Linked DNA regions of Mus musculus. The protein of the gene in region 4 interacts with the protein of the main gene of each other region in a biochemical or structural test. Links are inferred from orthologs where the notes say so. Each region holds a gene or a part of one and is shown on either strand. Other genes may lie near its edges. The genes, in order: Mapk8, Ikbkb, Map2k4 and Map3k1.

What was found.
Region 1: of the proteins of Map3k1 (region 4) and Mapk8, one has a biochemical effect on the other in vitro, tested with the Homo sapiens proteins (3 studies listed by BioGRID, with this or other methods). The link is inferred for Mus musculus from reciprocal best matches to the Homo sapiens genes MAP3K1 and MAPK8.
Region 2: of the proteins of Map3k1 (region 4) and Ikbkb, one has a biochemical effect on the other in vitro, tested with the Homo sapiens proteins (3 studies listed by BioGRID and IntAct). The link is inferred for Mus musculus from reciprocal best matches to the Homo sapiens genes MAP3K1 and IKBKB.
Region 3: of the proteins of Map3k1 (region 4) and Map2k4, one has a biochemical effect on the other in vitro, tested with the Homo sapiens proteins (7 studies listed by BioGRID and IntAct, with this or other methods). The link is inferred for Mus musculus from reciprocal best matches to the Homo sapiens genes MAP3K1 and MAP2K4.

Annotation. Positions count from the first base shown.
Region 1 is NC_000080.6:33,389,530-33,396,975, reverse strand, and holds part of Mapk8 (mitogen-activated protein kinase 8), read left to right. Parts: intron 1-3,868; coding exon 3,869-4,034; intron 4,035-6,231; coding exon 6,232-6,303; intron 6,304-6,662; coding exon of another isoform or gene 6,663-6,734; intron 6,735-7,446. UniProt on the Homo sapiens protein: Serine/threonine-protein kinase involved in various processes such as cell proliferation, differentiation, migration, transformation and programmed cell death.
Region 2 is NC_000074.6:22,669,574-22,677,019, forward strand, and holds part of Ikbkb (inhibitor of nuclear factor kappa-B kinase subunit beta), read right to left. Parts: intron 5,498-7,446; coding exon 5,390-5,497; intron 3,920-5,389; coding exon 3,790-3,919; intron 2,945-3,789; coding exon 2,750-2,944; intron 2,173-2,749; coding exon 2,058-2,172; intron 158-2,057; coding exon 34-157; intron 1-33.
Region 3 is NC_000077.6:65,783,935-65,792,041, forward strand, and holds the start of Map2k4 (dual specificity mitogen-activated protein kinase kinase 4), read right to left. Parts: upstream 4,426-8,107; 5' UTR 4,311-4,425; coding exon 4,202-4,310; intron 1-4,201. UniProt on the Homo sapiens protein: Dual specificity protein kinase which acts as an essential component of the MAP kinase signal transduction pathway. Essential component of the stress-activated protein kinase/c-Jun N-terminal kinase (SAP/JNK) signaling pathway.
Region 4 is NC_000079.6:111,804,766-111,812,701, reverse strand, and holds the start of Map3k1 (mitogen-activated protein kinase kinase kinase 1), read left to right. Parts: upstream 1-3,708; 5' UTR 3,709-3,732; coding exon 3,733-4,199; intron 4,200-4,636; exon of another isoform or gene 4,637-7,936. UniProt on the Homo sapiens protein: Component of a protein kinase signal transduction cascade. Activates the ERK and JNK kinase pathways by phosphorylation of MAP2K1 and MAP2K4. May phosphorylate the MAPK8/JNK1 kinase.

The DNA.
Region 1 (7,446 bases), on a different chromosome or scaffold from region 4:
TCTGACCTCTTATAGAGCAAGGGTTAAGGAATTATGTAAAGTCCATATTCTGAATGTTTTTTGTTTGTGGACATGGCCTCTGACACAACTACTGACAACTACTGCCCTTCTATCATAATATCAACTGTAGATAACATGGGGTAAAAATGACTATGGTTAAGTTTGCATTAAACTTCCTTTGCAAAAGCAATCAGTTGAAGTCCTGTGCAGATGACATAAAATAGTTTACCTCTGCATAATTTGGATCACTTTCCACTTTGATACTGCTGTCAATACTGTTAAATAACCAAACTCATGATCCTGTGTCCTTGCATAGGTTGTCTGATCTGAAATGCTTGGGGCCAGAGTATTTCAAACTGTGAAATATTTTAGATTTTAGATATTTGCATAGACTTATAGTGAGCATCCCTAATCTGAAAATCAGAAATTTGGGGGGGATCCAAATCAAAGAACTGTCATGATGGCCCCTGTATTCTTGGACTGATTTGAGACTACCTTAAAGTTTTCCTTAGCATAAATATCAAAGTAGTTATAACAGCCTTTTGAGTATTGACAGTTATACTAAAAAACCAAAAATACTTAAATTTGGGCCTTTCAGATTTCAGATTAGGGATAATAGTAACTCCCAAGTCTTGGGATTCAGCCAGAAAACACTAGGCTTAGCTACAATAAAAAATATCAAACTCTTATTTTGTTTTTTGGTTTTCAAAGCAGGGTTTCTCCGTGTATCTCTGACAGTACAGGAACTCTGTAGACCAGGCTGGCTTAAACTCAGAGATCCACTGCCTCTCAAATACTGGGATCAAAAGTATGCGCCACCACTGCAAAAGCAGATATCAAACTCTCAGTAGCCAAATATGACTAAGGTTTATTTTTCACATTCTGTATGTAGGCACATCATGGTAGGGGTAGACATTTGGATTTATAGAGATGCCCACTATCTACAATGTTACTAATCACCAAAGCAAGGGAAGATCTGCAGGAGGTCATGTTCTGGCCCTTCTCCACTCTGTTCCCACTCTACCTACTAGGTCTACTTTTGCTATCTTGCCTGACTAGAGAGAGAGGCTTGGACAATGGGGGGAAGGAGAGGGTGGGTTAGAATGTTGAGTTATTTCTACTCTATCTGCTCAACTCCAAGTAAACTCCAAGTCACTCTTCCTATAAGTAGTTATGACATATGTAGAAAGATAAACATTGATACAGAAAAAAATGAACTTTAGTTAATATTCATAGAGACAAATACTCTTGGCAGTTTATTTCCATACACAGTTTCTTTTAAACTAGAAATGTATTTGCCCCTAATCATTTCAGAACAAAAAGTATTTTGAGTTTTTTTCTAGACTAGACCACCTAGTATAAAGAGGCAGTAATCTCCAGCTGTAGCAACAATCCTGGGAGGACTACTGAGTTTATAGTGGTTATTCTTCAGCATGGGTATTCCTTTGTTTTATATTACCAACATTCTATTTGCAGAATAGAAATGATAACATTTTTATCTTCTGTGGGAATAACGTGTAGTCTTAGTATGCTTAATTTCAAAAGGCCTTAGTGTCTGTTTTCTTTATATATTTTTTTTAATTAGGTATTTTCTTCATTTACATTTCCAGTGCTATCCCAAAAGTCCCCCATACCCTCCCACACACACACTCCCCTACCCACCCACTCCCACTTCTTGGCCCTGGCGTTCCCCTGTACTGAGGCAGATAAAGTTTGCATGACCAATGGGCCTCTCTTTCCACCGATGGCTGACCAGGCCATCTTCTGATACATATGCAGCTAGAGACACGAGCTCCGAGGGGTACTAGTTAGTTCATATTGTTGTTCCACCTATAGGGTTGCAGATCCCTTTAGCTCCTTGGATACTTTCTCTAGCTCCTCCATTAGGGGCCCTGTGATCCATCCAATAGCTGACTGTGAGAATCCACTTCTGTGTTTGCTAGGCCCCGGCATAGTCTCACAAGAGACAGCTATATCTGGGTCCTTACAGCAAAATCTTGCTAGTGTATGCAATGGTGTCAGCGTTTGGAAGCTGATTATGGGATGGATCCCCAGATATGGCAGTCTCTAGATGGCCCATCCTTTCGTCTCAGCTCCAAACTTTGTCTCTGTAACTCCTTCCATGGATGTTTTGTTCCCAATTCTAAGAAGAGGCAAAGTGTCCACACTTTGGTCTTCGTTCTTCTTGAGTTTCATGTGTTTCGCAAATTGTATCTTATATCTTGGGTATTCTTAGGACTACCGGTTAGTGTCTGTTTTCTAAGCCTATCCATGTTACCTTGTCAGAGTAAGTTAGAAACAGCACATAAGCATTCTTGCATGTAGATATTTAAAAAGGGATCTTTGTGTTAAGGGCCTTAGCTTTTGCTGTTAATCTGCTAGTCATCTGTACATGTGAGAGAGTTTGTGCTGTGGATATGAGTGTTCATCAAAGCTAAAAGGCAAGAGCATGATGAATGTGAAGGCCTGGGTATTTATGCCACTGTCTTCGTTTTAATAGGTATTGCACACATTTTCTTCTACCTCGAGCCAGGCAGCAGTTTTTCACAAAGACAGTATTACTATCAGAAGAAAGTAATTTTATGGACTAGTGTCTGTTACATGTGAACGGAAGTTTATAAGCAAATGTTTGTGATATATGTGGGAAGTCAGGAATGGGCAGACTGATAATCACTTTTTGGTTCTTTAGAACTGAGTATCTAGTGTATTGAGACTGATTCCAAACTTTCCTCCCCACAAAAGTGAACATGTATGGCTATCATTGTTCAAGTAACATATACCTGGATCGTGTCAGGATTGTGTAAATATTATCAGAATGCTCCATGGTGGATTTAGAGCGTTTTAAAGTTTATTGTGACTTTAGAATGAGTTTTTTTATTTTTTAATGTTAGTGAGTACACTGTAGCTGTCCTCAGACACACTAAAAGAGGGCATCTGATCCCATTACAGATGGTTATGAGCAACCATGTGGTTGCTGGGAACTGAACTCAGGACCTGTGGAAGAGCAGTCTGCTTGCTCTTAACCACTGAGCCACCTCTCCAGTCCTAAAATGAGATTTTTTAGTGCTATTAATTTAGTATGTAAATGAATGTACATGCTAATTTATGATTCTTACCATAATAGCACTTTTTTGTTTTTGATTGGTATTTTGAGATGGGGTCTTGCTGTGTGTCATCATTTTTGATTGCTGTGGCAAAAAAACTGACCAAAAACAACCTCAGGAAGAAAGGGCTTATTTCATCTTACAGTTTCATGTAACAGTTCATCTCTGAGGAAAGTCAGGCTAGAACCTGGATTAGAACTTGAAGCCGATGCCATGGAGGAGTGCTGTTTACTGGCTTGTTCCTGGGTTATCTTGGCCTGTTTTCTTAGACAGCCAGGACCACCTACCCAGGAATGGCACCATCTATGGGTTAGATCATCCCACATCAATTATTAGTTAAGAAAACAACCCACAGAGTTGTCTACAGGCCATTCTGGTAGAGGAAGTTTCTCAGCTGTTGTTTCCTCTTCTTACATGACTCTAGCTTGTGTCAACTTAACAAAGAACTAAACATACACTGTGTGTATTGAACTTCCAGCCTTTCTGCTTTGTCCTCGACCAGGCTCTCCTCATCTTCATAGAGATAAATAAAAGAAGTAAAACAAAATAGAAAATAAAATTTTAATACATTTTTGTTTTTAAGTAAATAAGCATTAATAATGTACTGGCTTTGTTTATGCAAATGAAATGATCTTAAATCTGACTTGGTGGGTTTGCCTATGGTAAGGAACCTCTGCAGTGGTCCTGCAGACTATGTAACTCAGTTGAGCAAAACAAATCTGTGTGTCTGTCTTAGCAATCATTTTAATGTTTATTTCTTCAAGGACTTAAAGCCTAGTAATATAGTAGTCAAATCAGACTGCACTTTGAAGATTCTTGATTTTGGACTGGCGAGGACTGCAGGAACGAGTTTTATGATGACGCCTTATGTGGTGACTCGCTACTACAGAGCACCAGAGGTCATTCTCGGCATGGGCTACAAGGAGAACGGTCAGCATACACTTTCGCTTTGAAATAGTCTTCTGGTTTTGTTTATCAATCAGTTTTTAAATACTGTAATTGAAATGCATGCATTTAAGTATTCATTACTACTTCAAATGTCTATCCAGGATTTGAACGTTTTGCCGTGAATGTTTGGGAAAGCATGAGAATCTTATCTCAAATGGGAATACCTAGATGAAGAGTTCTAAAACTAGGATTTATGCCCTCTGCTTGTCTGTAATTTAAACATAAATATATATTTCTCAATGATTTAATCTTAGTAATAATTCTAGTATATATTAGTCTTATTTGCTCTCATCTCCAGCACCTTTAGTCAGTGTTAACAGTAGCGCTCACAAGCCGGGTGTGGTGGCACACACTTTTAGTCCCAGCACTCTGGAGGCAGAGGCATATGATTTCTGTGGTCTACAAAGCAGGTTCTAGGACAGCCAGGACTGTTACACAGAGAAACCCTGTCTCAGAAAACAAAACAGAATAATATAAAACAAACAAACAAGCAAAAAATAGTAGCACTCACTATAAACTCTGAGAGCTACATTTTCCAATTCTGGAAAGTTAGTGGGTAACTCAGCCTCGTATGGAAGCACTCGTGTTTGATTAAAGCCTGTGCCCCGTCATAAAGAGATTGCATATAGTATTATCTGTGGATAGGTTGAATCAAACCATAACTTTTTAAGTGTGGCGTGTTTCTAGGATGGAAATTGGAACAGTGGTTCACTTTAAATCAGGAAACTATTAAGTCAATCTTGAACATACATATATACATACTTAAGCACATGTATATGATACCAGTGAAATTGGGGAGATTGCTTAATTTCCTTACCTTTTTTGAGCTAATTTAAAACAAATACTTTACATATCAACTATCGGTTTTTAAACTAAACATGCTTTTCTGTTTCTAAGTCTCAACATAAGGTTTAAAAGTTTTGTTTTGAGAATTGATAGGCAGATTGCTATTGCTTTTGCTGTGAAACTTTTGATTATCACAGAAATTGCACCACATGTTAAGTTCTATAAATATGATCTTGACATTAGAGAAGCTGTCATAAAAATTGACATGTTGTCTGTCCTCTCTTAGATGAGAGTCACTTAGATCTCTCATTGCTTTTCCTGCCTGTTTCCCCAGGAACCAAGTCAAATCTCGTGTTTCCTCACTCATAACTATTAGCCAGCAGGAGGTGGCATATACATATCTTCCTCTCAGACACACACACACAGGGGAGGGGGGTAGAAAGAGAGTTTTCCTGTTTGGTTTTATTGCAGAGTATTTCAGGACAGTTTGGGAAATTTGGGGGGTAATTAATCTATTTTAAACGGCCTGATAGCAAATTAGACCCCTTATAGCAGGTTTTATAATATGGAGGTCTGCCAAGAGACTGTAGATCACAGATCTGTAGGCTCTTTGACACTTTGATATTGTATTCCACCGAAACTAACTTTTAAACCCAAAGTTTAAAAAAAAAAAAAAAAGTAAAAAAGAGATAATGAAAAACACTTGTTTATCAAGGTTTCTTGGTAGATAATGCTGTTCTTTTTCTGTCCATTTGTAGACATGGGTCGAGGTGGATATAAATGTAAAGTGGTGTTGCCAAGAGAATACGTTACTTTTAGTTCAGAATAAACAAAGCCTTTTCAGTTAAATAAGCCTGGGAAACCCAGGTGATAATTTTCTGAAAAAAACATTAGGTTACTATTTTATTAAAATGCAGATATCTTTCTGTTTTTAATATGCTAAATTATTTCTGCTCATGCTTGTTAATTTAACTTAAAGAGAGAGTAAAATGCACAGTTAAACCTCAAAATAGTACATCTTAATTTTATAATTTTATGGCCTTATATACATTTTAAATCTTATTTTTAAATTTTGTTTGGTTCTACTTCATATATTACATGCAAAATCTCAGTTATAGAATGTATGTTTTTTAAATTTATGCAGTATCTGTGCATAGCTCTCACTTTAAAATTAGACATGTAATTAAAATGCCATACTTCATATTTTCTTTTGTGAATCAAAGCTTTTTGAAAAGTATTTTGTGTTTTAAATTATGCCATTATTTGAAATTAAAACCACCTTTTTCTTTTTGTGATGTTCTGCAATTTTTTAGATGATGCAGTCATATTACGCTTCTTTGATTTTAACAATCTTTTGCTTTGCTTTTTCTTCTTTTGTGCTGCAAACATATAGTGGACTTATGGTCTGTGGGGTGCATTATGGGAGAAATGGTTTGCCACAAAATCCTCTTTCCAGGAAGGGACTGTATCCTTGTGCTGCTGCAGCAGATTAATTAGCTAGGTGATGAACTTCCTTCTGTTTGCTCATGAAAAGAAATACATGCTACATTTGTACAGTACAGGTTTTAAAATAGATGTAAAGTTTGTGACTGTTATAGTTCAAAAACTGGTTGAGCTAAGAAGCTTAAGTGTTAGTAGGCTGCATTTGGCAGCAGGACATACAGTCTCTGCTGGTCGTCAGCACATTCACCGTCATTCATTTTTATTTTATATTGCTTTTTATAATTTTAAGTGTATATGGTGTGTGTCTTTTTAGTGTTTATATATTTTTCTTTTTATTTTAACCAAAATCTTTATGTTAATGTCATTGCATTTTGTTTTCAGTTGACATTTGGTCAGTTGGGTGCATCATGGGAGAAATGATCAAAGGTGGTGTTTTGTTCCCAGGTACAGATCGTATCCTTATCTTTGGCCTAAAATGTAGTTTCTAAAGGTCAAAATGGTACTGTGTCAGCCTGGTCAAGTAGAATGTATTTTGTCTCTTCCTGATACAAAGTATTGTTAAATTACTTTTCCAGAGTACCACCTCTTACCTGACTTTCTTCTCCTCGTTTATTGATTTATATGTTAATTTTGAAAAGGTCTCAAGTGTGGTTAATTCATAGGTCCTTGCTTGCTTAGAGTTAATTAACATAAAAAGTTACGGCTTTCACTAAAGTTTCTAACACTTGAGTAAGTCTTTAACTATTGTGAAGGTAGCATGAATTTTGGAATTATCTGTTGCTACTGTTTGTTTTTATGTTTGTTTGTTTGTTTTTTGGTTTGGTTCCCCCATGTCTTTCTGTTATTGTTCTGTGTGCTATGTCTTGTTGTCTCATTACATTAACATAGCATGCTGAGAATGTCAGCAAGTTTTCCTGTGTTGGTAATTAGGTTGGATTCATGCTTTTAGTTCCATCAGTTTTTAGTATTTATGTTAACAGTGATGTGTTGATCAGTGAGTGACACAGAATTGTTTTAGGTGGAATGAGAATATTTACCATGTAACAATAAGAACGTGTGTGGGACAATAGTTATTCTTCAGAGGCTTGGCGTATAAAGACCCGAAAACCCCAGTCTACAGCATACTGAGATACTGGTATCATGTTCATTTATTTCAGAGCTTTAC
Region 2 (7,446 bases), on a different chromosome or scaffold from region 4:
AACGTATTAGGTAAAGCCAGCCTGGCGCAGTACATGGCTGCTCGCTGTCCCTGCTGCAGCCGGTTACAGTCTTCCTTCAGCGTCTGGATGCTGTGCCAGACTTGGCCCCACACTTTCCTCAGCTGGAAGAAGGAGAGGTTCCGCTTGGGCTCCTGAACTGGAAACAAACAGTTGTCAGAGGGGAACGCAGCTGCAGGGAACCACATCCCGCCCTACAGCATTGCCGCGATTTTTACAAGTTATATAACTGCTATACTGCTACATCATTTTACAGGTGTTGTTGTTTGTTATTAGTTTAAACAACTCGGTGCTCCATTAGCAGAAGGGATGGCCAACGGAAAGCTCCCACGTGATTTGATGGTGATGCATGCGCACCTGTAATCCCAGCACTCGGGTGGCTGAGCCAGGAGGTCTGCTGTTCAAAGTCAGCCTGTGCTGGGGACAACGTGGAGAAAGAACCACAAGCACACGCGCCATAGATTGTCAACAGACGCTCTCACTGTCAGCACAGTTAAAGTTGTATATAGTGAGAATTCGGGGTTTTTTTTGTTTTTGTTTTTGTTGTTTTTTTTTTAAATACAGAAACATAAGAATGTTTTTGTTTTAATCCCAGGTGTGGGATGCCAGGCTGCTTCCGACTGTCCACAGCAGCTGACTATGATTTGCCTCATGATCTAGCAGGGGTGTGACTTCTGCCAGCTGCACATAGTTTTGTTTTGTTTTGAGTGTGTGAGATTTGGAATTAGGGGGACTTTTCAGAGGATATATATAAATGCTAAAGCCCCAATTGGGGGAGGAGGGAAGCTGTTGGCTGATTGGCTGGTTGGTGGTTGGTGGTTGGTTGAGGTTTGTCAAGTTGTCATGTGCAAAAAGACAAAAAGAAGAAATTAAACATCCTGTCAGGGAAGATCAAACTTGTCCCAAGGAAATCGACACTGCTAACCACCAGGAAGTAGTCTAACAATGGCATTGCCCTCTGTCCTTCTCTCCTTTTTTCTTTCCTACTCAGTGTCAGGGCTTTGGAAGGGTAGAAGAGGGCAGGAAAAGGGTCGAAGAAAGGAGAACCCATGATGTAGCCAGAAGCCCAGTACCAGTTGTATGGAGTTTTCCTGAAATATGAAAGTATATGGGATGGCTCAGTGGGTGAGACCAGAGTTCCGTCCTTGGGACTATGTGGATGAAAGTGGGAGGAGAGAACTTATTCCAAAGTTGTCCTCTGACCTCTATATGTGCACACCTCTAGTGTGTCACATACGGCCCTCAACGGTGACAAATAAGTTAATTAAGCAAGTACTTTAACATGAAGCCTGAAACCAGAAATACTAGAGATATTTAAATCATCAAGAAGCCTGGGAGATCTCGGAGACATTAGCTCTTTGGTCTGTTTACTCCAAGTATGTATCTGAGAGAAAGGGGGCTGAGAACGGGGCTAGGTTAGTAAGATGTTCACCAAACAAACATGCAGTGGAGCACCATGCAGCCCTCCAACATGAGGGAGAGGAAATGAGCGACTTGGGTGAGGAGGGACACACAGAACAGTGCATGTCTGTGTCATCGTGGTCTCTTTGAGGGGGATACCCAAGCACTTGGAAGCAGTAGTTCTACAGAAGGCAAGCCTCCTGGCTGGGGACTAGAGCCCGAGTGTTCACTTTGCCTTATGTATTCTTTTTTGGGTATCTTTTGAGGCTTTGTGTTGTTTTTGTATCATGTACCTATGTTAATGTCATTCTTGTTTATAAGCAGAGCCTCATGTAGCCCAGGCTGGTCTCGAACATCCTATGTGGCTGAGCTCCTGACCCCTCTTGCTTTTACCCTCCAATGCACATTAGTTATTGAAATATAAATGCAACCTCAAAAATGAACCACAGAAGTAGGTGGTATTTCTTAACCCTGTGCCTACCTCTAGTGAGAGGCAGTTAACCAGTACTTTGCCTGGACTATTCTCTGCACATTCCAAGTAAAGGAGGCTTTATATACTCAGAACCAAACAACCAGGAGCTCCTCCAACTTTACCCTAAATATCGCAACTGATGGGTTTTAATAAATGATGCACTTACGGATACAGCTGACACTTTCCGGTTGGGGTCGGGGGGTGATCTGAGTCTCATAGTTGATTTTACTGTTGTCAAAGAGAAAAACAAGATCCATGTCCAACGTGAGGCCCTCGTTTGTCTGCAGAGGGACAAGAAAACAATGAGACCTGGGGATCCCACCCTTCCTTTCCGGCTACTTGGTCTTAAAGCAGTTCCACTTGCACGTGGAGGGCAGCATCGTAGCCTAAGAAGCACGCGTGACTCAGCCTGCTTTCTCTCCTACCCTTTTTATCTGAACCTGCCCCTGCCTTACATCATGTTCTAGTTTACTCTGCTTGCTTCTCCTGTGACCTGAACACATCACACTTCCCTGTGCAGAGGCTGTAGCCTCCATAACTACTCCACACCTTGGGGCAGACACCATGTCACACATCGATGGCCTTAGCACAGGTGCCTGACTAGAAGAGCAAAACATGATTTTGGCAATGGAAGCACAAGAAAATATTCGTGGTCTGGAAGTGACAAACTGAGTATGGAATGATTGGTGTCTTTTAGCGACCCACCTGGGACTCCTGACCCATCAAGCAGTTTGTACACGGTGTCACTGTATACAATTGTCATAGTGAGAGTAGTAATGTGGAATGCTGACAGTGTTCTAGGAGACCACATCTGAGGGAAACAGGGCAAGCAGGGCGCAGGAAGAAGTCAGGACTCACCTTGCTGTCTGAGATGCACTGAGTAGCAGGCTTGTCAGGGAGCAGCACCAGCCCTGCCTCTTGCAGCAGCTCCTGGTCTGTCTCCAGGATCCCCGTGTCTTCCTGGATTCTGGTTTTTAAGCTCTGCAGACTCTCATCCTCCGTCACGGGGTATGTGTGAACGGTGCCTGTGACCATGTTCAAGACATGAACCAGCTGCAACACAACCCAGATGTTACTGGGAAGAAATTTTCTTAACATTTATTTACATTGTGTGTTTGTATGCTGTAGTGGTTTGAATATGCTTGGCCCAGAGAGTGACACTATTTGGAGGTGTGGCCTTGATGGAGTAGGTGTGTCTCTGTGGGTGTGGGCTTTAACACCCTCATCCTAGCAGCCAGGAAGCCAATCTTCTCCTGTTTGCCTTTGGATGAAGATGTAGAACTCTCAGCTTCTCCTGCACCATGCCTGTCTGGACACTACCATGTTCCTGCCTTGATGATAATGAACTGAAGCTCTGAACCTGTAAGCCAGCCCCAATTAAATGTTCTTGTAAGAGTTGCCTTGGTCATGGTGTCTGTTCACAGCAGTAAACCCTGACTAAGACACTTGCATATTAGGAGGGGGGAGCACGTGCGCACACCACACCACGTGTGTGGAGATCAGACGACAGTTGGAAAGAGTTGGTTCTCTTTTCCATTAGGTAGATTGTCAGGCTTGGCCACAAGTATTTTTACCTGATGAGCTATCTCACTATCCCAAAAATCAAAATTCTTTACAAAAGGCTCATGGATTTGCCAAGACCCTTTGCTACCCCCAACCCATACTTGCTGGTAAAGGGCTAGTTTAAGTCCCATTTTTCCTCAACGGCAAGATGTCAAAACATGTCAGTCATCTCAATTTTCCTGTCCTCTTTTTAGCCCAAAGAGTCAGAGGAACCTGAATTTCTTCACAAGGCCAAGTGGCCCACGATCTGATATGTCTCCCTTCCTTGGAAAGACTGCTGTGCTCCACTGGGGACCACAGCTGCTGCCTCGGGGCTGCTTGGGCTCTGCTCTAACCTTCAAGTTCAAGATGTCATCCAGGGCTCTGAAGCAGCCGTTGGGGCCATACTGGGGATCCGTGCCCCTTTGCCGAGGGTGCCACATAAGCATCAGCTGCAGCCACTTCTCCAGCCGTTCAGCCAAGACACTAAGGGAGCAAAGGGAAGAGAGGCCTGAGCCGGCCTGCCGCAGTGTGCAAATCCCGAAGCACACACAGCCTTCCTTGGCTGATAGCTCAGCTCGAGTGAGGTGCTTGCTGTGCACACATGAGAACCTAAGTTCCATCCCAGAGTCCACATAAGAAATGCTTCTATCAGATGAGTGGATCCTTGAGGGGTCAGCCAGCTCAGCCTACTTGCTGAATTCCAGACCTGAGAGAGAGACTCTGCCTTGAAAAGGAGAAGGTGTGGAGCGACGGAAGAGAGCCAAGGTTGTCTTCCATAGCACACATACACCTGCACACACTGAAAGTGACCCTGACACTTTGATAAGGCTTGTGAGAGCTGGGTGGGGTGCTTGCCTGGTTCCGTGGTTTCCTGATCAGCACCATGTCTCTGTGTGTACATATGTGTAAACACACATATGAAGAAAATATGAAAAAATTAGGCCAAGATTTCTTTGTGTAAACGAATCACATACATTTCATTAATCTCATTAGTATGTAAGTTTAATATATGAATATTTTAACTTAATATTTGTCTTTAATAAAATTTAATATTTGCCTTTAAACAGTATGATTAAACCAAATGATTCTTTTAAAATATATGATTTATTATCAGTAGATGCTTGACTTATATACTTTATGTATCTACATATCTGGGGTATTATAAACATTTCTTGGGCACAAAGGGATCCCAGCTGCTGGCTGTCCTGGAATTCACTCTGTAGACTAGGCTGGCCTCGAACTCACAGAGATCCACCTGCCTCTGCCTCCCCAGTGCCTCCCCAAGTTCCAGGGTATCCTGGTCTACAGAGTGAATTCCAGGCCATTCAGGGCTACACAGAGAAACTTTGTCTCAAAAAATCAAATCCAAACCAAAGAAAACAAAACAAAAAAACAAAACAAAAAAGCCACCAATCAAAACCAAAGCCAGGGACTTCATCTCCACCATAGAAAAAAACCAACCAATCAACCAACTACCCAATCAACCACCCACCTAACCACCCACCCGCCCACTCATCCACCTGACCAACTACCTACCCAAGCAAGCAAGCAAGCAAGCTAGCAACCAACCAACCAATCAAACAAACAAATAAACAATTTTTAAAAAGACTCCTAGGAAGATGAGATATGGAAACCCATCCTATGTCTAATGTTGAGATAGACTGGTCCAAATTCTCAATCACAGGATGGTGTTCTGATATCTATTCAAAAGTTATGCATGGGCCTGGAGATGGCTCAGTGCTTAAGAGCTAGGGTTGGTTCCCAACACCCACACGGCAGTTCACAGTCATCTCTAACTCCAGTTCCAGAGATCTGACTATTCCTCTGGCTTCCACAGGCACCAGTCACTCAAACGTATAAAATTAAAGTAAAAAAGAGTCAGCTGTTATCTCAAACCTGTAGCTCTAAACAGAGGCGAAGAAGATCTATAAGACTGATGCCCCACGGCCTTACCTGTTAAGATTATTGGGGAAGGGTAGCGAACTTGAAAACTTCACTGCTCCATTCAAGTCTTCACTAACAACGATGTCCACTTCGCTCTTCTGCCGGACTTTGGAGTGCCTGTAGGTGTCATTTTAAGATGTCCTTTATGTCACTCAGTGGCAAGTACCCGGTTTACACGTGTAATGTCACTTCACGACTATTCTTTTGGAAAACGGTGGGCAGCATGCTGCTAGGATGCTTCTCTGAGTGTTTGTGAGTGGTCGGCACTGTGGTTAGGGGCTTAGCTCTAAGCATTGAGTTCAGCAGGAGTGTTTGTGAGTGGTCGGCACTGTGTTTAGGGGCTTAGCTCAGTGCACTGAGTCCAGCAGGAGGCCTCTCGTCCTAAGTCTCCAGGAGGCACCGTTGACCTCTGTGTGGAGGACTGAATAGAGACAACCTAAGTCTGAGTAGTGCTGCATGGGCGACCAAGTGCTCTTGGCCATGTCTCTAATTTCCTCTGCACCTCAGTTGTCAGGGACCAACTTCCATTTGAAAACAGTCATTTTCAATTGCACTTAGGTGTGTGTAGAAGGATATATGTCTCCTGTGGGCTGCCTGCCTGATGCAGGTGCTAGGAACCAAACCGAGGTCCTCTGGATGAACAGCAAGTGTTCCTAACCGCCAAGCCATGTCCCCAGGACAGCTCTCATGTTTGGATAGAGGACAATTTGGGGGTTCTGAACCACGGTCATTGTGTATACATCACATTTATTTGAAATGTAAAATAAGCACACATGTACTTTACTTTTATTTAAAAATGACATTTATTTATTTGTGTGTGTATGTGTGCACATATGTGTTCATGCACATGCATGCACACACTTGCCACATGGCATGCATCTCAGAGGACAGCTTAAGGGAACTGGTTTTCATTCCACCACTAGGGCTCCAGAGACAGAGCTCAGGGGACAAGTGCCTTTACCCACTTAGCTACCAAGCAGGCCCACACTTCCCTTTAAAAGTATATGGCTAACTTTTTTTTTGTTTGTTTGTTTTTGTTTTTTTAGAATAAATGAGCCTTTACATTTTCTAACGTAGGGGCATTCCTAAAGTATTTAAAGTACTTTTGGAAGGGGAAAAAAATTAAGTCCAAGTGGTTTCCAACCTTCTTGGAAACGAGGCCAACTTAAATTTGAATAATGCGTCATGAATGACCAAGTACTCTGCCAAAGTTCCTTTGGTTTCGGGGATGACCCCATGTGGTGAAATTATTTTTAGTCTGAGTGCGTGTTGTCCAATGTTAGAGACACTACAGAGTGACAGAACAAAGGGCTCAAAATTTGATATAATTTCTAGTATCTAAAAGTGCAAATATATCCTTCCCCTAAAAGGGGTCATTCATATTAAAAACAAAATGCGTTAGCCTTAAACAATTACAGTTGGCAGACAGTGGGTGCTCTATCCAGGGCAGGCAGGAAGTATGGAAGGTGCCGTCTGCATGGCAAAGGTGCTGGCATTCAGCTTAGGGGGGGAACTGATGGCGGAGGTCAGGGTCTCTGTGGCTTCTAACTTACACAGCTGCTTCTATAGAGCACAGTCTCCTAGCAGGAGACCCAATGGCTGCATAGAGCAACACATGCACTGCTTGACTGCATGTCTTGTCATTTGAGCGATGAAAATGTCACCAAACATTGGAAACCCAGGAGAAGGTCTTCTCATAACTAGTCCACAGAACGATTCCTACGAGGCTCCAGTGAACTTGGCATCTTGAAGCCAAGTAAGGGTGGTTTTAGGGGAAAGATCTCACAGACAACAGACAAAAATGTGGAGATGCCAGGCCATTAAAGGTGTTTTCAGTTCTATACAGACTAACTTATTTTGTTATGAGCAGAGAAAAGTTCAACATTTGTGATGTTTTCCTCCGTTATGGAGACGGAGCCCACCAATTTGGAAAAGTTGATGTTCGAACTGAAGACAAAACAACCAATCTCTTGGTTAGCTGAAATCAGTACATTACGAACAATTTAGAGCTATTTTATTTTCTGGTTACATTATAATGTGTGACTATGAACTATGTACCTAATTCT
Region 3 (8,107 bases), on a different chromosome or scaffold from region 4:
AGCACAGAAGAAATCAGCATGCAGTGTTTTCATTGCTGAAGTTGCTCAACTCTCAGCTGGAACGCTTTCTTCCCCAGAATATTTGCTATTCTCTAACATGCCCATGGTGACTTTATGGAACATTAGGTCTTCGACTTATACCCAGCTCACCTGAGATTGAGCACCTGATATGCTTTCACTAACTTGGCTAAATTCGTGGGCTTTTTCAAGATACCACTAGAAAGTCTCTACCATACCATGCAAGAAACCTCAGTTAAATTTATCTGTGATGACAAATTATCAATGAAGTGGTTTTTCAAACTCTTAATTATTGGGGAAATAATGTTTTCAATTTCTAACTAAATATTAAGAATTAAGGACAATTTAATAATAGCTCATTTGAATATTTTTTCTTACTCAAAAGAAGGCATATCCTAATGTCTAATATATTTTTATAATACTATTTACCCAACTTGCAAGCAGATCTACATTTTGATAGTTTTACTCACCAAATAATCAAAGGAAGAATGGGGGTGGGGATGGGAGAGCATATTCAGCTTGTAAATGTTTATACGTCTCTATATGGACATGAGGAAGTTCAAAAACAAAGTGAGTCAGAATGAATGAAAGCTCAAACATATGAGTAATAGCAAAATCAGCTACTATTCTCTATTAGCTGAGACTCTGTGGGAAGAATGCTTTAACAATAGCCAAATAAGAAGTACAACTGCTCTGTGAAAATGTAACGAAATGAACAAATGATGACTGTTAAGAAGCCAAAGCTGCTATAATTCCCATTCCAGCTACCCACATCCCACAGCCTATTTACAACTACAAGAGTACCTCAAACACAACAAACAGCATTATCATCATTTGAGAATCCCTGATCCAGAAAACAAGGTTTTAAGAGTTTGAAGTTGAACAAACTCTTCTCTGGAATTCTAAAAATTGGGTCCCTTAGTAGTGAAAAATAGTGACATCAACAGGTTAGAAGTGTCCAACCCACACACAATAAAGTCTAGAAAGGAAATGTGTAAGTTGGTCACAAGAGGCTAGGGACACAGGGGTAAAGAAACAGGGTCCAGTGGAAATAACAGATGAGAATGTTGATGGCCAACATGCATGGCATCTTCACGGTATGCCAGGTCCCATGCTTTGTGTACATTATCCTTGTACCTGTGGGATACGCACTATTCTTACTTTCCAAGTAAGAAACAGATGTTTAGAGAGGCTAAACACTATACTCACAAAAACCTTGAGTCCTGGTTGAGTTGGGATGAGGATGACCAAGGTTCTGGCCATTGAGCATTACAATATAATGGAAATAATGTTTCCAACTTTGTATCACAGTTGGGTCACAGATGTCAAGCTGTGCAAAGTACCTATCCTCCTGGATATCAGTCAATGACTGCTGAACTCTAACCCTGTCCTACTCCTGAATCTGCTGGTCAGTAAGACCTGACCATGAACAACTCCAAGAAAGGCAGTCTTTTGGATAGCAAGATTATGAAATGGGAGGCAGCCTGGAAAACACAGGAAGAAGTCATCTCAAAAAGAATAAATAAAAATAAATCCGAAGAAAAACACTGGTAGGGCTGGAGAGATGGCTCAGCGGTTAAGAACACTGACTGCTCTTCCAGAGGTCCTGAGTTCAATTCCTAGCAACCACATGGTGGTTCACAACCATCTGTAATGAGGTCCGATGCCCTCTTCTGGTATGTCTGAAAAGCAGCAGTGTACTCACATACACAAAATGAATAAATCTTTAAAAAAAAATGATGATGATGTGAAGAAGAAAAAAAAGACACCAGTAAAAAAAAGGGGGGGGGGAGGGGTAGTTTAGCTCAAACCTAGAAAAAAATAATTTGCTACTTAAACTCAAGTTTGCTAATTCAGATTATGCTACACAGCACCTTAAACATTTCAAGCATTTCTTTATTCTGAGCAATCAAAACAAGTTCAAAACACAGGATATAACTATCATGTTCCTGCCTCAAGGAAAGATATATCAGTATATATCAGTAAAGATAAAAACAAAAACAAAACAGGGTCTCAAGAAGTGGCTCAGGGCTTAAGAACACTAGTTGCTTTTGCAAGGGAGCCAGGTTTGATTTCCAGCACCCACTTGGTAGCTCAGAGCCATCTGCAAAGCCAGCCCCAGGGGTTTGATGACATCTTCTGACCTTTCCAGCACCAACCATGTGGTGTTCATACATACATACATACATGCAAAACACCCCCCTCTTCCCCTCTCCGCACCCCCACCACCTCTCTCTGGTAGGTCTTTTAAAAATTCAGCAATAATTCTAAGACAGTTTAGGGCCCCTTTAAGTAGAGTTCCAGATATCAAAAAGCAGAGATGGACAGTAAACATCAGAATTCCTGACCATGTGACTCAGAGTTCCTAGATGGTCTGCCCTCTTCACTGTTCTCATTGCCTAGGCCCCATCTCTGTTCTTTCCAGATAGGCTTTCTCTGTCATCTTATCAAGGAGATGGCCCTGTAATCTTCTATCACAAAACCCAGCCCGTTGCCTTCATTTTTCTTAAGCCATTTCTTGTTTACCTCCATGTCTTCCCTCCTGCATCCTCAAAGGGACATGCTCCATCAGAGGTGAGACAGCTAGGTTCACTAGTCTCTACACACTCAAAAGGGAGCTCTACGCTGGCTCTAAGCAGCTCCATCAGAGGTGAGACACTGGGTTCACTAGTCTCTACACACTCAAAAGGGAGCTCTACGCTGGCTCTAAGCAGCTGCTCAAGATTTTCTGAACAAGAAAAAAAAATGTATACAGATTTTTCAAACGGTCAGCCACGTCTCTCAAAACACACACACACATACACACACACCTGAAATATATTCATTGTTTTACTGAGTTATTTATTGTGTATTCAAGGGTAGAGGTCAGAGGACAACTTGAGAAAATCAGTTCTCTCCTGCCATGTATATCCCAGGGATTGAGCTCAAATCAGGCTCTGTCTCTACCCTTAAAATATTTAAACTTTAAGTCACCCACTGTGGACAGGGCAAAAGAGATGAGAACCCCAAATTATCTTAACAAACAGTAAAGGTGTGAGATGAAGAAAATCCATCTTGTATTTTGTATGGAGCATAGCAGGCATCCAATAACTAACTAAATTTGAATTAATTAGCTTAGGACCTGTACAGAATATATCTTCTGAATGAAATGCTCAATCTGTTTATATACTATCCCATAAATGTTTCTTATGGGAAGGGATGTAAATACAGATCGTATTTCTGCTGCCCAAATCATGGTATGCTGGCATAAACACGAAATTTTCAACATATAATCTGTTGAACTTCATTAGACACAAGGAGCGCTTTATGAAGAGTTGGTATCATACTGATACCAAAGATATCCAAACGACTCTAATAATTCAACATAAGTCGTTTGCTAAAGTTGTCAAGAGATTTCTGGGCTTGCCTGTGTCAATCCCCCCAATAAACCTAAGAAATGGACTCGGGCCTGTTATTTTCACAACACCCCCTGTCAAATCCCACACAGAGCTCCTAAGGCCTCCCGGTGAGGAAAGGCCATTACAGGGGAGCTGCCTCAGATGCCCAGACATGATCACTTTGACCTCTGCCATTCGGTTTCCTGAATCTCTCTCCCTTTCAGCCCAACTCGGTCTTCTATTTTTATCTGATTTTTCTTTTCTGCATGCGAGGATAAGACACATCTCGGGCCTGGGTCGAAACGCCTCTCCGGGGCCAATGGCTGTCTCCCCACCTTACAGGTGGCCCAGGGCCTCGCAACCCCCCGCCCCTCCCACGCAGACACCCTGCAAAGTTTTGGGGACGGGGGGACAGCGCAGTGGCCCTATTCCAGCGGCGCACCGTGAAGCGCAAGATGGCCCTGAGCCGGCCCCACTGCAGCGCGCGGGGGCGGCGGGGCCGAGGGCCGGGACGCGGCCGACCTGCGAGCCAGAGGCCCGGCCGCGCGCGTTCCCGGAGCCAGCGGGCGCCAGGTGAGCCGCGGGCGGGGGCGGCCAGGTGGGCCGGAGCGGGCAGAGCCAGAGCCGCCACAGCGTTCACCGAAACCCGGCCCGGGGCGGGGATCCCGGGGCGAGGCCGGGCCCGAGACGCGGAGCTCGGGCGGCTTCCTCAGACAGCCCCGGGGACGCAGCGGCTCCACAGGCCGCGGCTCGGCCGAGCGCCTCGCGAGGGGGCCCCGGGGTCTCTGCGCGCCCACCGTCCTTACCCTGCATGCTGCTGACCGCCGGGTGGCCAGAAGCTGGAGGTCCGATGGGCCCCGGGGTGCCGCCACCGCCCCCGGAGCCGCCGCCGCCGCTCGGGCTCGGAGCCGCCATTGTTGGAAGTGAAGAGCCGAGCGGCGCCGCGGCGGCTGCAATGCAGCAAGCTCGGCCTCTCGCTCCGCTGAGGGCGCGGCGTGCGCCGCCTTGGCCACGCCCCGGGCACGCCTCCGTCACGCCCCCGGGCACACCCCCACTAGCACTGACGCGCAGCCTGCAATACAGGTTGAGCTGCAGCGCCCAGCACTGAGGGCAGGGCCTGAAGTCCTGGATCAGGGTGACTCTCAACCTACCACTCAGGGACCCATAGTGGCTTGCAGAATCAGAAATATATGTGCATTGAGAAAAGGGAAAGACTTACAGCCCCAAAGCTTTAGAACTCCCTTCTCTGAACCTCAGAACCCAAAATCAGAACACGTAGAGTTCTACGAGATCTCAGAAGTCACGCTTCCTGTCCAGTCTCTGATCCATCACTGCAGAAGAGATGACAATAACTGTGGTCTCAACCCAGAGCTCTCTGTTCTGCTGGGGACTAACAGGAGTATTTCACTGACAAAAAAAAAAAAAAAAAAGTATCAGAACCCGAAAGAAAAAGTTCCGGTGTAGGCTTTTCAGTCCAGAATCCATGCCAAATATTTTGTTAATTTATTCTGTGTGGGAAGAAGACAGCAAACAGCAAAAGGTGAGGCTGTGATGGCCTTCAAACGCATCTCTTTTTCAAGCGCAGATCAGAAGGTGGCTTTCTTTGAAGGAAGTTATATTTTAGTTCCAGAAGAAGAATCAAAGAGCATAAAGCTGTCCGTGACGACACATGCCTTTAATCCCAGTGCTTAGGAGGCAGATCTCTCTAAGTTTTCAGTCAACCTGGTTTATGGATGGGTTCCAGAATCTTCTCTAAAAATGGTTTTAAGGATGAAAAACATCAAATAAAATACTTCTTCCAAAACAAATCGCCATTTTAGGAAACATGGGTGGACGCAAAAGAAAAAAAAAACAATATAATATAGTTGCGTTTTTATTTTTATTTTTTATTTTTAGCTTGGGCACTTTAACACCCAGGGGAAAGGCATCAAAGGTTCCATAATTTGCTAGCAATAAAACAAGAATCAGATCCTGTCACTACCAGACTCTGACCCCAGTGTGTCATGGCATTTGACTTGTCAGGAAAGTTTCCCAGCCGGCTCTAGTATCACTATGGTGTGTGAGTGTGGTGTGTGAGTGTCATTTCCACAGTTCCTTGGGGGCTGAAGCAATGCAAAGAAATAGCTTAGAGGAATTTGAATTTCCCTCTTTCCGTAAGCTTCATGAGCGTCCCAATCTCAGTCTTTGGTGTAAATAATAAATATCTCACAGTCTTAGGGAAAGTGCTTTTGTAAATCTCTCACCCCACTTCCAACAAGTTTATAGTTATTTAATAATGTATATTATATTATAATTATATGCATTATTTATATAGTATATAGTATATATTATAAAATATATATTATAAAATATGTATTATACTAGTTATATATATTACAAAATATATAATATGATATATACTTGTATAATATGTTATTATATTACATTATATTTTTTATATATTGTGCATATATATATGTATATATATATATGCACCAATCTCTTAAAGACATCACTGGAGTTTGAATGAATGCTAGAAGATGCATATATTATTGTTTCCAATATTCCCTTAGAAGGTGTATAGGTCATATAAAAGGACTTTAATCAGACTAGGGAAACATTGACCCACCATAGTTAAATGAACATGAAAGAGACAGCAAGTAACAAAGAAACCTGGGGAAAACACTCAACCCAGCAAGTTCATGAAGGTAAGGGTGTGTTCCTGGGGTGTGAACCAGCCAAGCAATTTGTCTAATGTTGGGCTTGTGATAAAGCTGGCCTGGATTTGCATCGCTGTTGGTATTGTAAACTAATAGATAAGGACTGAGAACAAGAACCTCTCATTAAGTCTACAGGTGGGCAGAAACAAGACAGGACTTGGGCTTGTTAAAGCTGATGAAGCTGTGTGCATGCCTTTTGCTTGTTCTTGTGTCCCTATTTTTCTTGTAAGTTTCTGTGTTGTGTTTATTATAGACTGAGTTGGATTCCTCAGAACTTGTTTGTTGAAGTCCTGAGCCCTGGCATTGTGACAAGGGCTGTGTTTGAAGATGGTAGGGTCTTTAAGGAGGTTGGTAAGATAGAAGAGGTCATTGGGGGACCGCTAGCCCACTCACTTGGTGTTCCTAGCGTGAGATGGTGCGTGGACACATAGGGAACGATCCACATGAGGAAACTGGAACATGGGGATCGACGAGCCAAGAAGAGAAACCACTTTGGCCACATCTTGATCTCAGAGCTATGAGCAAACAAATTCCTGTTGCTTGAGCTATCTGCCTGTGGTGCTTTGTTATGGCAGCTACAGCACACTAACATTGTATGTGGCTTTTAAAAATGAATATCTCGAAGGGAGCTTGGAATTTGGGGTAATAATAGTAGTAGCTAGCATAATTTGGGGGGAGAAAGGGAGGACAATTAGACAATGTGTATTAAACCCCAGAAACATCCTGTTTATAAATCAGTGTACCGGATCTCTGCATGGGCCTGGCAGTCTAGACTCTGCTGTGCAACCAGAGGACTGGAGAAGCACTAACACCACTGTCTAGAGTAATGTGGAGTGAGAGCAAGCTGCCTTGGAAGACGCTGCAGAGAAAGAGTCATGTTTGCCTAGCCGGTGATTAGGGAACCTCAGTGGCAAAATCTAGCTTGCTGCTTCTCTATGATTCATGTCTCAGTGGTTAGATTAAGAGTAGAGTTTTCAGGGGCCAGAGATATAACTTAGCAGTGGAAAGCATTAGTTTTTCTTACAAAAATCCTGAGTTTGATTCCCAGCACCAGCGTGGTGCCTCAGAACCATCTGTAGTAGAATCTGACACCCTCTTCTGACCTCTGCTTGCCCCAACCATGCACGTGCTACAAACACATAGGTGCAGGCAAAACACTCATACACAGGAAATAAAATAAATTTTAAACTTTGTAATTTAAAAAAAGAGTACATTTTCACTTTATATCCCAAATGAAATAAAAGTAATTTACAAATGGATTTCACCTTCGGACCCCAATTTCCAAATCTGGAAAAGTAAGAAGAGTAATAGCCCCACCACCACTGCCACCACTGCCACCACTGCCACCACTGCCACCACTGCCACCACTGCCACCACTGCCACCACTGCCACCACTGCCACCACTGCCACCACCGCCACCACCGCCACCACTGCCACCACCGCCACCACCGCCACCACCGCCACCACCGCCACCACTGCCACCACCGCCACCACCGCCACCACCGCCACCACTGCCACCACTGCCACCACTGCCACCACTGCCACCACTGCCACCACTGCCACCACTGCCACCACTGCCACCACTGCCACCACTGCCACCACTGCCATGTGGCTAACAGAGCCAACAGATATTCCCTGTATGTGTTCCATCAACAACTTTCTGAAAACTCATCTCCTTTCTACCCCAAGTCACCAAGGGCTTAGGACCAAGCCATTGCAATGTCTGTTGTGGCCTCTTCAGGCACAATGAACTGTGTGGTTTCTGGGTACCATTTGAGCAGCTTGTCAACTGGAAATATGACATGTGAAAGAGGCTTTGACCCATTCTACCACCAGAAGAGCCAGAGCTTCAGACAGAGTCAGATGGCCATTCAAGTGATATTACTAATGTTGCCAATAACCACGCATCTGTGTAGAACTGCAGGCAAATGTTTATCATGGCACTGTTTGTAACGATAAGAAATGAAACTCTTAAAACTCTAGGTCATTACCACCAAGGGAAAATGTAATATT
Region 4 (7,936 bases):
AAGATTCAAGGCAGGTTAGAAAGAATAAAATTTTGCTAAGAGGAATGATTAAATTTAATAAATTTCCAGCCTAACACAGTGGCCCATGCCTTTAGTTCCAGTGCTGCAGAGGCAGAGGCAGAGGCAGAGGCAGAGGCAAAGGCAGAGGCAGAGGCAGAGGCAGAGGCAGGTAGATCTCTGAGTTTGAGGCAAGTCTGATCTGAATAGTGAATTTCAGGATAGCCTGAACTACCTACCCAATGAGACCCTAGACCTTGGGGGGAAAATTAATAAATTTCCACTTTACCCTTAAATTTAAAACCTCCTTTCCATGACCTGGAAAGCTCTGATAAAAGTTACTTTCTGGTAAAAAGCTCCTGAAACTGCAAGCGTGTACAGGAAATCACTGCTATGTTTAAGTCCAATTGAGGATGGAAATCGTAGCTGTGGAGAAAAGAGGAGAACCGGAATCAAAAATGCAGGGTTGGGGTTGGGATTTGGTGATAGGGCCTTGTTTCTTTGCATGTAGGACTTCCACTTATACTTCCATGTGTCCTTCTCACTGACCCTGCCTGAAAGTGGCATTGTCACCCAAGCTAGCAAACATAGATACTTTCAAAGTAAATTTGTCTAATTGTCTAAAGAGGGACACCCTCTTCCTCACCTTATTTAATGATCATAGCCATGCCTGATCTGACAGAGAACACTTTCCATGTCTTGTCCTCTTTCATCCTTTGAAGCCTTAGTTCAGTTCTCGTTGGAAAAACTTCCAATTTTCACTCATACTCATACTGTATTAATCTAATAACCAGAGATCCACTTGCCTATGCCTCTGGAGCGCTGGGACTAAAGGCATGCGCCACCATGTTAGGCGGGAAATTTATTAAATTTAATACCCATGGGTCTGAAAATATGTCAGCCAGCCCAATAAAATACCCACTGGTAAAAGTATTTGCAGGTGAAAGCATTCTATTCCGTTAAAGTAGTCAATGTGGTTAAGATAATTATTAAGAATATTCATTATATACTGATATTAATAATTAATAACCGTTATTAATTAATAACAAATATTAAAATTATTTAAACAATTTGAGAGGAATAAAACATCTTGTGTGTGCAAAGGAATTGCTCAGTAGCTGCGAACGGAATGCCTTATAAGCTGAAATACCCTGCCAGCACATACGGCTTTTTCATTTTAACATCGTGATATTTTTGCCCAATGAGGAAATGCCCTGTGTTTATCCTCCAAATGAACTTGGTGTAGCAGCTCAAGTGTGACTTAGGCCATTCCCGGCAGCCCTCTGTGGGAGCCGTGACCTGGAAAGCTCTGGTAAAAGTACTTTCTGGTAAAAAGCTCCTGAAACTGCAAGTGTGTACTGGAAATCACGGCTATGTTTAAGTCTGAGCGAAGATGAAAATCATAGCTGTGGAGAAAAGAGGGGAAACGGAATCAAATTAAGGCAATGGAGAGCCTATAGCAGTCTGCCATCTGACACGTGCTTCCGCAGAAATACATCACAGTATTCAAACAGCTCCAAAGATCAAGGTGGCGTGGGGTTGGGTTGGGTGTGTGGTGAGGAGGGCCACACTTAATCATACTTATGGCTCACAAAGTTGGGGAGGGACCTACCCAGGTAACTGCATTCAAAGGAGACGTTATATTAACATAGAGAGCAGACTTCCTTAGCCAATCTGGTCCTTTTATTACTTATCTCTGAAAGAAAAACGTGTGTCCAGGTATAGGTGCATAATGACAGCAGACTATGTCCATAAAAGATGAAAGGGAATGGGATTCAAATCAGGAGAAACTACTGGGGAGAGATAGCACTTAGTCTTCATAGTCTTCATAGACTGATGTGGCCTATGGAGGCCAGAGAACTGCAGTTAGTCAATTTGTGCTTCATTTGATGCCCACCCTCATCTTCAAACAGTTCAAACACTGTACAAATAAAGAGACAAAAGTCACCTTTTGCCGGAGTTCCTTTTTTCTTTTTTCTTTTTTCTTTTTCTTTTTCTTTTTCTTTTTTACTTTGCTATTCAGGCCAAACTTCCAAACCTGGTCCAAAGATGGAAACAAAGGCTGAGGGTCCGCAGTGGCTTTTCTCACAGGTACCTAAGTACGAGTGCGCCAATTTAAAGTTTATTTTAGATCTCAGTAGAAACCAGAAAAGCTAATCCTTTTCAATTTAGGATTTGGTGGGTGTGGCAATCTAGGAAGACCTGGGAAATAACTACTGTTTGGTTTGGATGTTATGCTTGTCTACCATTAAAAGAGCATATAATTATAGCCTAAATGTAGACCTAAATCTTGAACAGACTAATCTAAACTTTCAAAACGTGTACCTTTTAATGTAACCATTGAGAACTGTAGCGTGCCAGATGTTATAGCAGTAAGTATAACACCGAGCTCAAGCTGAAGTCAGGATCCCTTTTTAAAAATCCCTTTTGCCTCACCTTGCTCTCTGGCTGACATTACACACCTAAGGAGGGCTTCATTTGATCTACTTTGGAGAGGTTAAATGAATTATTTTGAGCTAGTTCAGGCTTTTGTCTAAATGCTGGAGAGATCTTTCCTTTCTCTGTAAGATGAAAACCCTTCTTACCCCTCCCCCCACGCCTCATGTCTTAATGTTTCACAAAATAAATCTAGAAATCCTGGGTTCTGAGAGATTGTCTATTCTAGACAAAGTGGCTAGGGGAAAAAAAAGTGGCAGAGGCGGGTGAGATAGGGACGACAAGGCAGCTTTATCCCGTTGAAAAAGGGTCGAAGGGGGGAAATCCCATATACGTATACTGCTTTTCTATCTCCAGCACATTTTCTAGACTCTGGGGCAGGAGAAAGGCGAGGGACGCCGCACAGGGCAACCAGGGAGCGGCGGCGGGAGGGAGGTGGGGGACCCGGGAACCGGCCTGTCACCTGACTGCCAGGAAGAGGGACGTGCAGCTGGGAGCATCTGTTGGGGGTGGGGAGAGACCTGGTAGAAGATGGCATGATCCAGCGCTTCCTGGCATAGCGCTGGCTCCTTCCCCAGACGTGCTCTCCCGCTTTCGGTTGGAGCCTGCCTTTCCAAGACGGGGGAGTAACCTCTGGCAGAGTACCCGGGTTGGTCCCTCTGCGTAGCCGGGGGAGTGGGGGGGAGGGTGTCCCAAACCAGCAGCTTCAGAGGTGCACAAGGTAGCGCAAGAAATCTTAAGTAGTGTTATTTGTGACACGAGGGCGGGACAAGAGGTCTGCTTTCCTAAGAGAAGGCTTCGCGTCCGCCCGTCTGCGGCAGGCGACAGTCCCGGGGCGCCACCTGCGCTTCGGGCGCGGGCCGGGCCGGTGCGCGCGGGGGCCCCCCCAGCAACCGCTACTAAACGCGTGAAGTGACAGACCGTGAGTCCTCCGGCTTGCGTCCCCTTCCAGAACCAGGGACTCACGCTCGGATTACTGCTTGCTCAAGGGTGGGCGAGCTCCCGCCGAGCCGCTGCCCCGCCCGGTCTCGCACTACCTGGCGGCGGCCTGGTTGCAGCGCACAACGCCCGGCGCCCGGTTCCCCGCATTGCCCCTGCCCTCCCACCTGCGCCGCGCGCCCGCCCGCCGCTCCGCGCTCCCGGGCCCCGGCCGGGAGGCGCGGCCCCGCTCGCGCCCGCGCCCGCGCCCTCGGCAGCAGCGCGCGCCCGCCCACCCGCCCGCCGCTCCGCCCGCCCCCCGCGCTCTCCCCGCCCCCTCCCTCCCCCGCAGGCACGAGCGAATGTAGCCCGCGAGAGAAAATGGCGGCGGCGGCGGGCGATCGCGCCTCGTCGTCGGGATTCCCGGGCGCCGCGGCGGCGAGTCCCGAGGCGGGCGGCGGCGGCGGAGGAGGAGGAGCTCTCCAGGGAAGCGGCGCGCCCGCAGCGGGCGCGGCGGGGCTGCTGCGGGAGCCTGGCAGCGCGGGCCGCGAGCGCGCGGACTGGCGGCGGCGGCAGCTGCGCAAAGTGCGGAGTGTGGAGCTGGACCAGCTGCCGGAGCAGCCGCTCTTCCTCGCCGCCGCCTCGCCGCCCTGCCCATCTACTTCCCCGTCGCCGGAGCCCGCGGACGCGGCTGCAGGAGCGAGTCGCTTCCAGCCCGCGGCGGGACCGCCACCCCCGGGAGCGGCGAGTCGCTGCGGCTCCCACTCTGCCGAGCTGGCGGCCGCGCGGGACAGCGGCGCCCGGAGCCCCGCGGGGGCCGAGCCGCCCTCTGCAGCGGCCCCCTCCGGGTGAGCGGCGGGCCGGGGCCGGGCGGGCAATGAATGAAGCGAGCGGGGCGCGCTGCTCCCGGGGCTCCGCTCGTTGGGGGTGGGGGGGGAGCCCGCGTCCCCGAGCCCTGAAGGTCGGGCGGCGCCCGGGACGGCGTGGGGACGGGACGGGAACGTGCGGGAGAGTTTGTTATTGTTTGCGGACATGTGACAGGCGTGGAAGCCGCGAAGGTGCGGGGCTCCCCGGGCCGGGTCCTGAGAGCCCCCGCGGCGCGAAGTGAGTTTGGGGGGCTCGGAGCGCGAAGGTGACGGCGGTGGGTCTGCGCGCTGTGACAGCCTAGAGCCCCTCGGCCCCACGGGGACGCGCGCCCGCGGGCAGGTACCGGGCCGGGCTCCGGCGGCGCGCCCCGGGCGGCCGGGGGATTCCGGGGACTGCGGGGGGGGGGGGCGCCTGTCAAAGCGACGCAGGCGGACGCTGCGGGCTCGCGGGGCGGCCGGGTCTGCGGGGACTCCGTGGCTGCCCTCGCTGCGTGTCCTTGGGAATTCCTCCCGCACCTCGGGGGCTAGAGCGCCCGGTGCTGGGAGTTTGAATCCGGCTTTGAAGTTAGCTTTTGGCGGAATGCTGTGGGATCCAGGACCGGATGTGTCAGCCATTCAGCTTCAAAGCTGTGGGGACTGCGCCCCGCAGCCCCGCTGCGTGGCGGGGACAGGGACGGTGCGGGGCTGCCGCTTTGCTCGCAGGGGTCTTCCGGTGCACCAGAAGTAGGATGTGCGTAAGATAGTTTACACCAACGGCTCTTTGGCCTCGCCCTGTTTTGGCTACTGGAAAGTTTTCTGTTAGAGGAAATTCTTTTAAGTATATGATACTTAAAAAAAAAATCTGATGAAAATACACAAAAGCATAAAATCTTGATGGATGTGTGAAGTTGCTGGATATGTTTTCGTCATCGTCACCCTGTGGCCCCCCGTAGAATTTCTTGACGTTTACTGTGGGTGGAGAGTGTTTTATTGTGTGTCGAATCTGACAGTAGGAATCCTTGGTTTCGGTTAGTTATCTAAGTAATTTGACCCCCTTTTGTGCTCTGGATTGTTTAAAATCACGGTCCGTTTATTACTTGGAGGTCGTTTTCCCTCCTCCCAACCCCCAAGCCCAGTAGTAAAAAGTGTGTTGACCCCTGGCTGTGGCAGGATTGGGAGGAAGGTAGGCAGTAAGCAGCCCCGATGCAGCTTTTCTGTGTGTGTGCCCTGTGTGCACTTGTACACGTATCTTCCTCTAGGGTTTCCTGTTTCTGTGCAGATTAGATTAAAACTAACCAGAATAATTCTTAGGTGGCAACTCTTACTACAGATCAACTACAGATGAAAGAAAAAACAGTAACTCAAACTTTGAGGAATTAATTTTATCTAGTCCTGTGAGACCTGATTTTTTTTTCTATATGATAATACAGTTGGCCACACTTAAGCATTTATAAAGTCAATATAACCACCTATGAATATACCATGAGCAGCAACTGCAAAAATGACATATAGAACTTTAGTGTTGCCTCTAGAAATCAGAGGACCAAGGTGAGGGCAGGTAGAATTGAATACCTGAGTAATCTGCTTGATTTTTGCGCATTCTTCTCTCTCTCTCTTTATCTCTTTAAGCAGTGGCTTATAATTGTAAAAGCTGTCTTTAAAATAAATACTGCTAGCTAGAATTCTGTTGGTGCACCTCAAATGTTATATGTGATAGTTTCATTTGCTGTAAAATATCGATTGTCAATCCTTTTGAAATAATACTAACACCCCCCCCCCCCACACACACACACACCCCGCCTCCAGTTTTTGTAACTGGTTTGAAATTCATTTCAAATCTGCGGGTCTAAAACTTATATCATGAAGAAGGGGTTATCCAGAAATGTTGTTGTGTTTTGGGTTTCCTGTTGTGATGTTTTATTATTTTCTCATTTAAAATCTCGGGGAAATGATTATACGGCATGTAGAATCTCAGTTGAACAATGTGGTTCCCTTTTCAAGTAGCGCACGTTCATGCTTTGAAGAGGAAGATCTAATGCTGATATTTTCGGTTTGTTTTCAGTAGTAGTAGAGAGCCAAAGACCCCTCTGCATGTCTAAAGACCTAACGTATTTTTCTTTTGTTTTTTTTTTTTGTTTGTTTGTTTTTTGTTTTTTTTAATCCAGTTTCTAAACGTTGGATGTAGAAATTGAATGTTTAGAAAATACACATTTATAAAAAGATAAGCTATGGGAAATTCATTAAAGTCAAAGATTGCATGTATGTCTGCCCTCTCTCCTTCAGTAAAATAACTCAAGCCAGTGAAAGTTTGTCCTGTAAGTGGCGCCCAAGGGTTTGGGATTTTTTTTTTTCCCTTATGCCACAGAATAGGGGGCTTTTCCTTCCTAGTGACTGTCTTTGAAGAAAAATTACAGTGCTGCTCTGCATTGAACAGGCTGTTGTGAGGTTGGCAGATATAATTACTCTGTCCTATTTTTGTAGTTTCAACCAAACTATCAATCACTTTGCTGCCCCGTGAAAGAGCAAGCTATGCTGGGCCTGTTAGTGTTAGCCTCGTTTAAAACTAGCGATATTTCATAAGCCACCTCTGCTGCTCGGGCCTCAGTTTCACTTCCTTTTAGAAGCTGTTAAGCTAAAAATACCACTCACTGATCATTTGCTAGAGGGAAGGCATAAAAACATTAATAATAAACCTAAAAATAAGTCCTTTCAAACTGTGAGTTGGTGATTCTCTAACATCATAGATGTAGCCCCGGAAGTTAGCCCTGAGTGAATTCCTGAGCTCTGGGACTTAGGGTTTCTCTCCAGGTTTTGTTTTAAACTGGGTAAGGAAACTACTGTATTTTTAAAAGATTAACCTTATTAAATAGGATTCTGGAAGAGAAATATCAGAGCTAGAGTGGTTGCCAGCTTTTGTTTTCTCTTCATATCTGATCTTGGCAAGAGTGACTGGTTAACCAACATTCCTTAATATGTGATTTCCAATACACTATAATGACTCCATTTTGTGAGATAGGCAAACAGGAAGGAGCCCCATTGATTGATGCTTCTGTTCCTCTCCAAGTGTTGCATGTTGTGGAAATGGTCACTGACGTGTGGGCCTGAAGCTTGCAAAATGTGCAGAGGAAGGGGGAGAGAGAGAGAGAGAGAGAGAGAGAGAGAGAGAGAGGCTACAGTTTGCCTAGGAGGAGTCTGCTACCCTGTCCTTGACCCTGCTGGCCAATTCCAAAGGAAGAAGTCGTCAGGGAGAATGGATTATTCTGAGGAAATCTGAGGGATGTTCCAAAATGCAGTTAGTATTGCCTCTGCATTCTGCACTCGGGGCGCTTCCCTGAGCTGAGGGGAAAGCTGTGTTAAAGGAAGTGGGAAAGCGTGAATGGGAAGGTCTTGGTCCATGGCGGGCACTGCTGACCCCGTGCCTGCACTTTTCAACGTAGGATGATTTGTTTGTATCACGGGTGTCACATGCATCCTTTAGACTGGCCGTCTTCCTTGGCCCTGGCCTTTCTGTATCTTTAGTGAAAAGTTACAGTTGCTGAAAAATGTCAAGGGAACTGGTAAAGCCAGGAGGAGGTAGACAGACAGACCCTAGCATGAGCAAGGCCTTGGGTTTGATTGCTAACATATATGCAATATTCAAAACATAACAATGTCTTTCAGGCATATCTTGAGAGTATTTTTAGTCATGAAAAAGAGTCAGGACCAGAATTCAGGCAAATGACTCACCAGAAGCGGGGGCG